Linked DNA regions of Xenopus tropicalis. The protein of the gene in region 1 binds, or shares a complex with, the protein of each later gene. Links are inferred from orthologs where the notes say so. Each region holds a gene or a part of one and is shown on either strand. Other genes may lie near its edges.

Region 1 (3,758 bases):
ACAGTTATCTGTTTTCCTTCTCAATGTATACTCACTCAGCTGTATGGTTGTAAGAGCTGACCAGTAGGCGGCGCTGTTTATAAGCAGATTAAAAGCTTTAAAAAATAATTGATGTAAAATGCAAATGTGACTAGAAGAGGACACTGACAAATTTATATTAACTTTTTAGGTTTTAGATATACTTTATTCCCCAGTCAATTTATTTGTTAGGGCCCAGGTTTCATACCCATATCAGTTTCTTGGGAAACCTGATTTCCCTGTACTTTGAATTTATGGAATAGTTTTGAAGGCCAAACAGCAACAAAGCTGCCAGTGGAGAGGGAGATTTTATGGGAAGTGATATACAAACAATAAAACCTCCCTTCTCCTCACAGAATACAGAGGGGATTTGGTGTGTTCCCTATGTGCAGCAGCCACAGGTAACCATAATTCTACCTACTGCATAAATACACACATACACCCACACAGAAGCAGAGCTCTGTTATAAACGCACTCTCGCCCACACAGCATCACGGCTGTGATCAGGCCACATTGAAATAGGAACTAAAAAAAAAGACGTTTCCGGTGTGGAGCGCTGAGGCGCTTGTATTAGCACTGCTTGATGTGAGAGCAAGGCAGACAGCATGGATATTTACAGATATGGATAGCTTCAACAGAAATAAATTTAATTGCACGGAACATGTGAATGCTACAACTCCACTCCATCCAAAACTAAACCTCTGTACTGCTTATATGTCAATGAGTAAATCAGGTTTAGTCACGCGTAAACGTACTGCTATTGCCACTCTCCCATAATCCCCTGCAAGGTTAGAAGCGCAGGCATATCGCATCGCCCACCAACTTCATGCGAATAAAGCGTGTAAAACAATGCACTGCGCCTGCGCATACAGCCTACAAGCAAGCCGCTTCTGGGATTGAAGCGCCGCCTCTTCTCTTCCGGTTTTGCCCCAGATAGAAATGGCGGTACCGGCTTCCAACGCTAACAATCCCATCGTATTCTTCGATATCAGTATCGGGGGGCAGGTAACACGCGGTGTTAAGTATAATACATTGAGAAAGCCCTGCATTAAATGATGATTCCATACTTACGTACTGAGAAGAATCTCGCCATGCAACACCACCTACAAACTGCAGCTGAGCAAATGGGGCTGCATGGTGTAGTGTAGTATTAGCAAGAAGGCTAAGTGTGTACTGTGACTGAAGGACAGATTTTTATATTCATAGCAGAAATTATTATGTATTTAAATTGTATTCCACGTGTATGGGCCCCACTGTTCTTTCCGATCTCTAAACCCTAAAACTTTACTGATGGTCCTAAACATGCACTCTAAGCCCTGAGAAAATCCCTAAATATGAACTCTAAAATTCTCATGGCATCCCAATTCATGAACCCTGCCCCCAAGGAAGACTGGGCGTGAACCCCAAAAGAGAGCCCAAAACAAAACTTGTAAAGCCACCAGACGGCTGATCAAACCAATTAGGGGAAAAAAGATCATCTTGGAAAGCTCTGAATATTATCCTTAGAATGTATGGAAAAAAGTCAACATGGAAACTAGACATTTTGGAAAATGTGTCAACATGAGGGCTAATTTGTCCATTCCGTGTCTTTGAAAAAGTTGTTCTTTCAAGCAAACTGTTGCTATACCTATTTATTCTGCATTTATTTAAATTAAAGTTATACAGAATATTAAAAACATTGGGTGGCCTAATTTTGTAAGCTTTTAAAGTTTTGTAATTGCTATATTTTATGCTATTCAACTTCAAATTAGTTTGCTTGTGTGTAACTGTGAAGAAAGGCATATATTCTGGGAAAACATGAAGGGTATGATGACTGTAATACCAATGTGCTAATTGTCTTTTCACAAAAAAAACTAATTTAATGTCCATTTACTTTTTCAGGAGGTGGGCCGGATGAAGGTGGAACTTTTTGCAGATATTGTACCAAAAACTGCAGAGAACTTCAGGTGAAGTTGCATGACTTTTGCTGTCAAAACTCTGGAGTAGTTATATAGCAACACTGACAAAGTTTGCAACTGCCCATAACCCAAAGCAACCAATCAGATGTTTGCTGTCATTATTTTAGTCTCACTAGATCAGTAAGACTAAGGGCTCTGGCACACGGGGAGATTAGTCGCCCGCGGCAAAACTCCCTGTTCGCGGGCGACTAATCTCCCCGAGTTGCCTTCCCCTGCCATCCCACCGGCGAACATGTAAGTCGCCGGCGGGATGGCAGATGCGGCGGCGCGATTTCGCGCAAATCGCTGAAAAAGACTTGCGAGTCTTTTTCGGCGATTTGCCGAAATCGCCTCGCCGCGTCTGCCATCCCACCGCCGGCTTACATTGTCGCCGATGGGATGGCAGGGGAAGGCAACTCGGGGAGATTAGTCGCCCGCGAACAGGGAGTTTTGCCGCGGGCGACTCATCTCCCCATGTGCCAGCTATCTGTCGAGCCTACAAAATAGACAGTACTGATAGGATTGTTTTGCCTTCAATAGGGATTAATTATATCTTAGTTAGAATCAAGTGCAAGGTGCTGTTTTATTATTACAGAGAAAAGGGAAATCACTTTATATCATTTGATTTACTTGATTATAATGGAGTTTATAGAAGATGGCTTTCCCTGTAATTCTGATTTTTCTGGATAATGGACTTCTAAATAATGGTTCCTATACCTGTATTATATCTAGCAAACAGTTTTTAAATAGCTTAAAGCTTTACAATTATACTAATAATATATTATCCACATAGAGTTCCTTTCTGTTTTGTTTCTCTCATCACAACTAAGTTCTTTAATATACAGCCCTCTGCATCTAAAAGAATTTGACAGCACTACTTTACACCCCTTGTTTCTTTTTTTCAAACCATCCAAAGGTCCCTTCCCACAGGCATTAATATTCTCACCAGCAATTTACATCAATGCTGGTTGTAAGGAAACTTTGGGCATTTGTCACCTGCACTGAAGGAGATTTAGTTTTAGTGTTTAGAAGTAAAAGTAAATGGAGGATAAAGTAAATTCATGAATTTCCCATTTCTGATGCTTAAAGCTGATGCCAGAATCAACCCATGTGGCATCAGTCTAAGGGGCTATTTCTGATATCAAAAAGAAGTTGTTGTAGACTAATGCATTATGTGCTATGCAGGAATGCATTGTTGTGCAAACAGATTACGTTAGGTAAAGTATCTGCTAATTGTAAATAATTCTTTATTTCTCATTTCAGGCAATTCTGTACTGGCGAATTTAGGTTTGTATCTGTACTTCTTTTGCCCCGATCGGGGGTTTGATCTAAGTAATGGGAGTAGACTGGAATAAATGTTGAAGCACAATTGTTTCCACAAATCCTCATAGTTAAGTTCTAAGAAACTGGCTTCAGTGCTTCTCTGTTTTCATTCATTGTGTAGCAAATTCTGCAAGAAGCTAAACTGTCCATTGGCTGCTTGGTGGGGGATTATGAATATAATAGCAACAATACTTTTTCTGTAGATCAACTAATACTCAAAATAGTACATTGAAATTAAACGTAATAAGCAATATGGCAGCTTTCCTGACAGGAAAGACAATAACTGTTTTAAAATATTAAATAGTGCACCGCAGATATTTTTAGCACCTGTGCTGTAATACTGACATCTGCTTTAAGGGTAGTAGAATATTTACTGCAGATTGCATTTGCAAATTAGTTCTGAGTTTATTTATACCCTCCATTGACGTTCAGGGCTGAATCATCGGATATAGAGGTAGAAACAATAGCAATTCTACCCCT
Region 2 (3,758 bases), on another chromosome or scaffold:
AAAGAAAAAATAAAATAACACATACCTGCATAACTTTCTTAATCTGATCAGTTGTAACATTCATAATTAATGTTACAGCTTGTATAGTGTGATAATGTGCTAAAAAGGAGCTAAAAAGCATAACAAAATTACAGGAGGTGCAGATTAATCCTTAATTAGTAACGTATAGATGGCCAATTAATTGTGTGATTCTACAGATGAAAAACAACATCTGCTACTAAGTCAAACAGCTGCAAAATACAAAGCGTATAAAACAAGTGAAAGTTGCTTACAGATAAGTCTGTCAAATCCTGCAGAAGACAAAGTTACACCATTGGGATGAAATTTGCAGCAATAAACTTCTCCTTCATGACCAGAAAGCAGCATGATGGGAGCCTGAAGACTGGATGATCTTGGGGGACCCTGCAGTCAACAAGTTCAGAGAATTAAACATCAAAGTAGATTCAGTTCCATTTATTACCTAAAGAAATATTTTATTCACCTTAAATTTTTAGTATTCTATAAATTACCATTTCTATTCTATTTTAAAGGGGCACTGACACATTCCTATAACAGTAAGGAACTTGTCAGTATTACCCATAATGCAGCACAACACTACTGCTTTTATTGAAGATTTACCCCAAATCTCCTCCAGCCCAGTCACACTTACCACAGGCAGAGTTAAAGGAACAGTAACACCAAAAAATGAAAGTGTATAAAAGTAATTACAATATAATGTACTGTTGCCCTGCATTGCTACAACTGGTGTGTTTCCCTCAGAAAGACTACTATAGTTTATATAAGTAAGTTGCTGTGTAGCCATGGGGGCAACCATTCAAAGGAGAAAAGGCACAGGTTACTTAGCAGATAACAGATAAACCCCCATTATATGGGGCTGATCTACTAGTTATCTGCTACATAACCTGTGCCTTTTCTCCTTTTTTCAAGCTTGAAAGGCTGCCCCCATGGTTACACAGCAGCTTATTTATATAGTAGCTTTTCTGTAGCAAAAACACCAGTTTTTTGCAGAGCAACAGCACATTATATTTTAATTACTTTAAAACACTTTAATTTTTTGATGTTACTGTTCCTTTAAGCCAGCAGTCTGGATAAAGAGATGCTCCCTGCAGACATGCGGGCTGTGGGTGGTGCCATCATTCTATAGGCAGGAATACAAATGTAAACTGTACTCCAGCCGTTGGAAGGATTGCATGGAGGCCAGTGTGACTGACAGACAACTCGTTAAAGTAACATTCTGCGTGTAGTAGTGTTGGGATGGGGTAAGTGTGTTTGGGCTGGGGGAAGCCCAACCAAGTGCTGCATTGTCAGTAATACTGACACGTTCCACGTCAGTATTCTTTTAACTACTCTTTGGCATATTTTCTCCCCTTAAAATTCAGTTTTAGTATTATTGTTATATTGCCTATTGTTTATCAGTCTATTGAGATCCTTCCCTAATTATTTGCCATTTTGAGTTCCAATCTACTTCTTGGTTGCTAGGAGAATTGAGGTCTAAACAAACAAACCTTAGAGGCGCAGAAGAAATAATCAAACTAAAACATGAGAAACAGATATACAGACTAAGGTCATGCTGTCTACACTATACTAAAGGACATTTTAAAACTGAACTACCCCTTTCAGAAAAAAGGCATGAAAATGGGTTAAGAGAAAGTCCCATAGCAGTAAAAATACTAGCTTTTTATTTACTATTTATAACTTTTGGAAATAAAGTTTTTTTTTTAAAAAAGAAAACTTTAACTTGATTACCTTCATTAAAACAACTAGAAAGTCCCATAAACGAAAAACCACAACCCATTAGCGTAGCAAAGTGTAATCACAAGGTCCTTAATGGCTGTGTGGGGTGCACAAGACGAGTCAATACTATAAGTAATTATACCCCTACCTATGTTCAGACGTTAGAGCCTTATGATTACACTTTTTAGCTTATTCTTATACCGTCTAAATCTTTTAATAAAGGAAATAATGGTACGATTTAGATTATGTCTATAATTTTACCTAAAGTCCAAGTCAAATATGCCCAAGGAATGAATGGTTACACTTATCCAAGCCAACCATTTCATTCAAATTCTTCATTCTTACCGAAACCACCAACTCGTTCCTCGGTTTTTTTGCCTGTACCGGCACCAACTCCATTCCCTTCCGCTTGTTTTGCTCGATCATGTTTCCAAGAACTCCTTCCAGCTTGTCTAACACTCACAAACCCAGCCACACTGTAAGACTCGCTTGCGTTCCCACTCAGCAGCGCAGGATGCTCACGCAATTATCCTGCGCAGTCACTACCTGATAAAGATTATAGTGGTGATTGGCTCTAAGACAATCATGTGACCTTGAAAGCCTTTAAGGGGCGGAACAGAGCTTGCGCCGATTTTGTCCATTAGTAATGACGTACGATGGGCGGGGTTGCGCGTATAAGGATGTTTAAGCAACTGGGCTGATACAGGAGAAAGAGAAAATGACGTAGAAGTTGTTGTAATTGGTTAAATGTGATCGGCCGGGGAGGAGACAGCGAAATGGCGGCCCATCAAAGGTAAAATATATAACAAGTCAGTTAGAAGAAGATTAATAGGCTATTACATAAACCATTATTAACGCAGCTTGATATTTCTCTGCAGGTGATTCAATTTTTTTAGGCACATCACATGTAATTTTGTCTACTCCAGTAAAAGGGGCTGTTGGCTTTAGGTGCCTTACATGCTGTTAGCGCACACTGAAGGATTCATAGGCTGGACATGCCTTCACTTTCTCTTCTATATGGAGCATATCTATTATAGTGTGTAAGTCGACATCATTGGTGGTGATGTGGCCCTTAGCAACCAATCAGATCTTTGCTTTGGATTTCTAACTTTTAGGTGACTGCTAAACTCTTAATTGCTGATTGTTTGCTATGTGCAACATCACTGGTGATATTGGCTTATACGCTAGTAAATAGGCTAAGGATTAAGGCCATATGTTATTCTGCACATAGAGCCACATTTACAAGCGTATTTGTAAATTTAGAGAGGTGACAGACGGGTATATTAGTCGCCCCGCAGCAATTCTTTGTTGCTGCGGGCAACTAATCTCCCTGCTATGCCATCCCACCAGCAGGAATGTAAATCGCCGGTGGGATGGCATATGCGTCACTACGATTTTCTGAAGTCGCCTTAAGTTGCCTTAAGAGGAAACTTCGGGTGACTTCCTTAGCCCTATGTGTTGTAGCAGCCATGATTACTATAAGGTATTACAAATCTATTGTCACAGTGACCCAGTTACACAGTGTATGGGTTTGAACCTGCAGTGAAAAAGAATGAAAGTGTCCCTGCCCTATGTTATGCGTATTTATCTCATTATTCAGAGACTTACGAAATATACATATTTGTATATATATCTTTATGTGACTCTAATTTTATATGCAATTGTTTTTTTTTTTTTTTTTTTTTTTACAATACTTTTATATTACAGTGCAATAAATAAAATATTAGCAGCTAAAGAGATTGAGTGCCACACATTGAGACACAAGAAGAATGAGTTCTTTGTCCTGTCTTAACATCTAAGAAGGTTGGAAACTTATTCACATGAATGGGAGGGTAATAAGTGCAGTCATTTATTAAGGTGTGGACATTGGTCTATATAAGGGTCACCTCTGAGTAGAGACACTTATTAAGAGATGTAGTGGAGCATGAAGGATTAATTCTTTGCTTATGAGAAACTATGGCAGGCATTAAGGAGAGAACTGGACTGGGTCTTCTGATGCTGCTCTCTGCACCAAACACTGGATT
Region 3 (3,326 bases), on another chromosome or scaffold:
AACATTAGTCAACATCATAATGAAAATTAACTCAAAGGTAAATAAAGCCTTTAAAAAAAGGGTCACAACAGCCATGAGTACAGGGTGCCTGTATGAAGAGTAGGAAAATTATCAAACCCCTCCCCCCCAAAAAAAAAAAAATAAGACTGTAGGGAAAGATACAGTATTGTTCTAGTGACCTGTATGAAGTGTAACTGCCTATAAAATTTAAGGGAGCAGTTCTGTTTTTGTGTATACATATCTCCCTAGAAGGTAGTACTCTCAGGACTTAAAAAAAAGATGGTGAATATTTTTTATATGCTTGCTTTGTACTCCTTAATCACCATTTGCCCCTCGAGCTGTTCCTGCAATACTGCAATGACTGAAAAACAGCATTACTTTATTATAGTGTCCAGTCTGGCGGAATATTCTGGCACAGGATTCCCCCAATAGCAGACACAACTGGTAACTAGTGAATGGCACTATTTGTATCTAAGCTGCTCCCATAATACTGGGCATCAAATTCACAGCTAAACAGTGGGAAACCCCAGTACAATTCAGGATATTTCTGATACAAACCTAAATGTTATATTTGCATTTTTTTTTATTATAAAAAAACATTAGTTTCTTGTATAATGAAAACAAAACTGAATTTCATGACTGTTGTTTATTTTACAGCAGTACAGATCATCATAAACCAAAATGTTTATCAAACTTTATGAAAAAGTGTTTTTCTTTTCAAAATGTATTTAGCAATGCAACTTCATCTTAAGTCTCAAACATAAATGTATAGACCTTGATCTTCTGAAGTCCAAAATGCTGCGCTCTTAATGCAAAGAACATAATATAATTAAAAATGAAAAGTAAATTAAAAAAAACACAGGTCACATCCTCCTCTTCTGAGTGCTAATATACAAAACTGCAAAGAGAAAAAAAAAATTCACATAAACAATCACTTCCATGTCTTGTTTTTCTGCAATTCTATCAATTCAGCCACAAATACAGTTAAGACCTAAAGGTTAAATACACCTATGCTAAAGATGTTTTAACTAAATACTAGCAAAGTCATCTTTACCATAGGTGTATGTCAACTTAAGGATTCAACTGTAGGTGGGACATTTATATAAAGGTATGTATTTTGTGTGGTATAGAATGTTTTTAAACTATGTCTATAATACAAATTTTATTCGTAGATGTCTAATACAGTCTGCATTCCAGTTAGAGGAAAAAACAGTATTGCACAAGAAATATCCACTTGTAAGTGCTATGATGCCCGAACCAGAGTTCCTGGTGAGGGAAGCCATCTTGGGGCCCATGTATACCCATGATGAGAAAACACCCTTTATATCATTAATAGGATAACTTTCTTAACGTAAATTAAAATTCGGAAATAATCATGTTACTTTTCACTCTGCCCCTCTCAGCAACCTCTTTTCTTTATGCAGAAGTCAGAGAAGGCAGTTAGGTCTAACACCTTTTTTTTTGGGGGGGGGGGGGGGGCCTCTTTACTAGCAGACGTGTGTTACTTTTGGAAGAGTCAGCTTGAATACCTCTTCTAAGGAAAGGGTGCAACCACCCCAAAGAACATATTAGACCTGTCAATCAAAACCTGACTCCACCTACTGCATGAAGAGAGAATAAAGAAAGGCAGGTGATGAGTGGGGGAGTGAAGAGTAACTTGGTTATTTCACAAACATGACAATTTTTACATGATTATATTTAGAAAGTTTTGTTATTTCAGATAGATACATCTTATATTGAAAATGTATTTTCCATACACTACAAACACTGGCTGACAAAGTATCAATACTATGCAGTGTATAGAGTTCTAGTCATTATCTTTCAGGTTAACAAAGCACTGGATTTCAACAGGAAGCCAGCAGTAGCTTCCTGATCTGCAGAAAAGGGATGGATGAGTGAAAATGTAATCTGTTCCTCTATGATTAAGGGTGAAGACACACTGAGCTACTAGTAGCAGTTACAAAAATAGACAATACTGATCATTTACAGATAATTGTCTCTACGTATGTTTTAGCAAAGGAAATTCTCAGTATTGTCTATGGCAGGGTATATTTTGGCGTTAAGTAGCCATGACAAGTAGCTGCTACTAAGTAGCTTTGTGTGTCTTCACCCTTAAGGTGTTCATCTGCCAGGGTTTTTTTTTAGCTAGTGAAGTAGCACCTTAAGCTACAACTGCTGTTTCTGATTGACTACCAGGGTCCACCTGAAATAAATAATCACAAAAAATGCAATACAATACAGACAATACAGCATTTTCAAATCAAGAACTGCCAGAACCTGTGCTACCAGCAAGTTTGCCTTACAGCCAATGAGACACAGCAGGCCAGGTTTCAGCAAAAAAATACCCAAGTACATATTAAAGTTAGAATTAAACTCCAAACTGTAAACTCTATAGAGTATAAAAGCAAAGAATTGTTTGACTTAAAGCTATAACCTTTTTAGGTCATAAAACTATTAAATAAGTGAAAAGGTGTTCCATTTTATGTGTTTATATTAGACCTTACTAAACCAAACACACAACAAGCCAGTATTTTTACTGTACTATTCTTATGCTGCTTTCCCAGAGATCGCATCTAAGAAAGCATTAGGGAGTACTGGACACAAAATGCAAATCTGTGAGATGCAGGCTTCATATGTGTATAATAAATATCCAGCAATCTTTTTAAATATAAAAAAGTAGGAACGGTTACTTAACAGCCCAATAACAAGTATTTGTCCTTGGGATTTGAGGGTCACAAACAAAATTGAAGGTTATTCTGGTTGATTTTACAGCTATCAAAGGGAATACAAGTCTTTAAATTAAAAGGTGCAACTAAGGAATAACAGGTTTACTGGGTGCTACTGCGTGTACAGCAGTTTTATTACACTGAAGAAATGCCTGGCCAGTTACAGAGTTTCTTTCAGGGTTCAATAGCAATGTTCCACATCACACTTTTTACTGAGCAATTACATTTAAAACATTTTTTTATATATTTAAAAAGCAGGACTCAAATTCTTTTGAACCACCATTATTACCATTATTTCCTCGGATAAATGCATCCCCATACTTGTTCTTCAGCTGTCCATTCACATACTCTTCTGTTTGTTCCAAAGCAATATTCATGTAACCATCTAAACATGCCAGAACACCTATATGTGGTGTAGATAAAAAGAAAAATACAAAAAACAATATAATCAGATAGATATCAGTAGTAAATATAGATGGAAAAGCACATAACTGTTGCAAAGACCTCTGGATATTTTCCTTGATTTGCTTTTCTTAGATAATTAGCCTATAACAATAGCCTTTTTAAAGGGTAACTAAAGGCCCCAATGAACACATGTAT

Evidence for each region.
Region 2: ppih (region 1) and snrnp40 share a complex: the UniProt entries of both Homo sapiens proteins name them as parts of the U4/U6-U5 tri-snRNP complex. The link is inferred for Xenopus tropicalis from reciprocal best matches to the Homo sapiens genes PPIH and SNRNP40.
Region 3: ppih (region 1) and lsm6 share a complex: the UniProt entries of both Homo sapiens proteins name them as parts of the U4/U6-U5 tri-snRNP complex. The link is inferred for Xenopus tropicalis from reciprocal best matches to the Homo sapiens genes PPIH and LSM6.

Annotation. Positions count from the first base shown.
Region 1 is NC_030683.2:94,758,868-94,762,625, reverse strand, and holds the start of ppih (peptidyl-prolyl cis-trans isomerase H), read left to right. Parts: upstream 1-954; 5' UTR 955-957; coding exon 958-1,023; intron 1,024-1,899; coding exon 1,900-1,964; intron 1,965-3,218; coding exon 3,219-3,242; intron 3,243-3,758. UniProt on the Homo sapiens protein: PPIase that catalyzes the cis-trans isomerization of proline imidic peptide bonds in oligopeptides and may therefore assist protein folding. Participates in pre-mRNA splicing.
Region 2 is NC_030678.2:79,149,749-79,153,506, reverse strand, and holds the start of snrnp40 (U5 small nuclear ribonucleoprotein 40 kDa protein), read right to left. Parts: upstream 2,233-3,758; 5' UTR 2,161-2,232; coding exon 2,080-2,160; intron 403-2,079; coding exon 273-402; intron 1-272. UniProt on the Homo sapiens protein: Required for pre-mRNA splicing as component of the activated spliceosome. Component of the U5 small nuclear ribonucleoprotein (snRNP) complex and the U4/U6-U5 tri-snRNP complex, building blocks of the spliceosome.
Region 3 is NC_030677.2:58,331,126-58,334,451, forward strand, and holds the end of lsm6 (U6 snRNA-associated Sm-like protein LSm6), read right to left. Parts: intron 3,130-3,326; coding exon 3,016-3,129; intron 899-3,015; coding exon 864-898; 3' UTR 632-863; downstream 1-631. UniProt on the Homo sapiens protein: Plays a role in pre-mRNA splicing as component of the U4/U6-U5 tri-snRNP complex that is involved in spliceosome assembly, and as component of the precatalytic spliceosome (spliceosome B complex).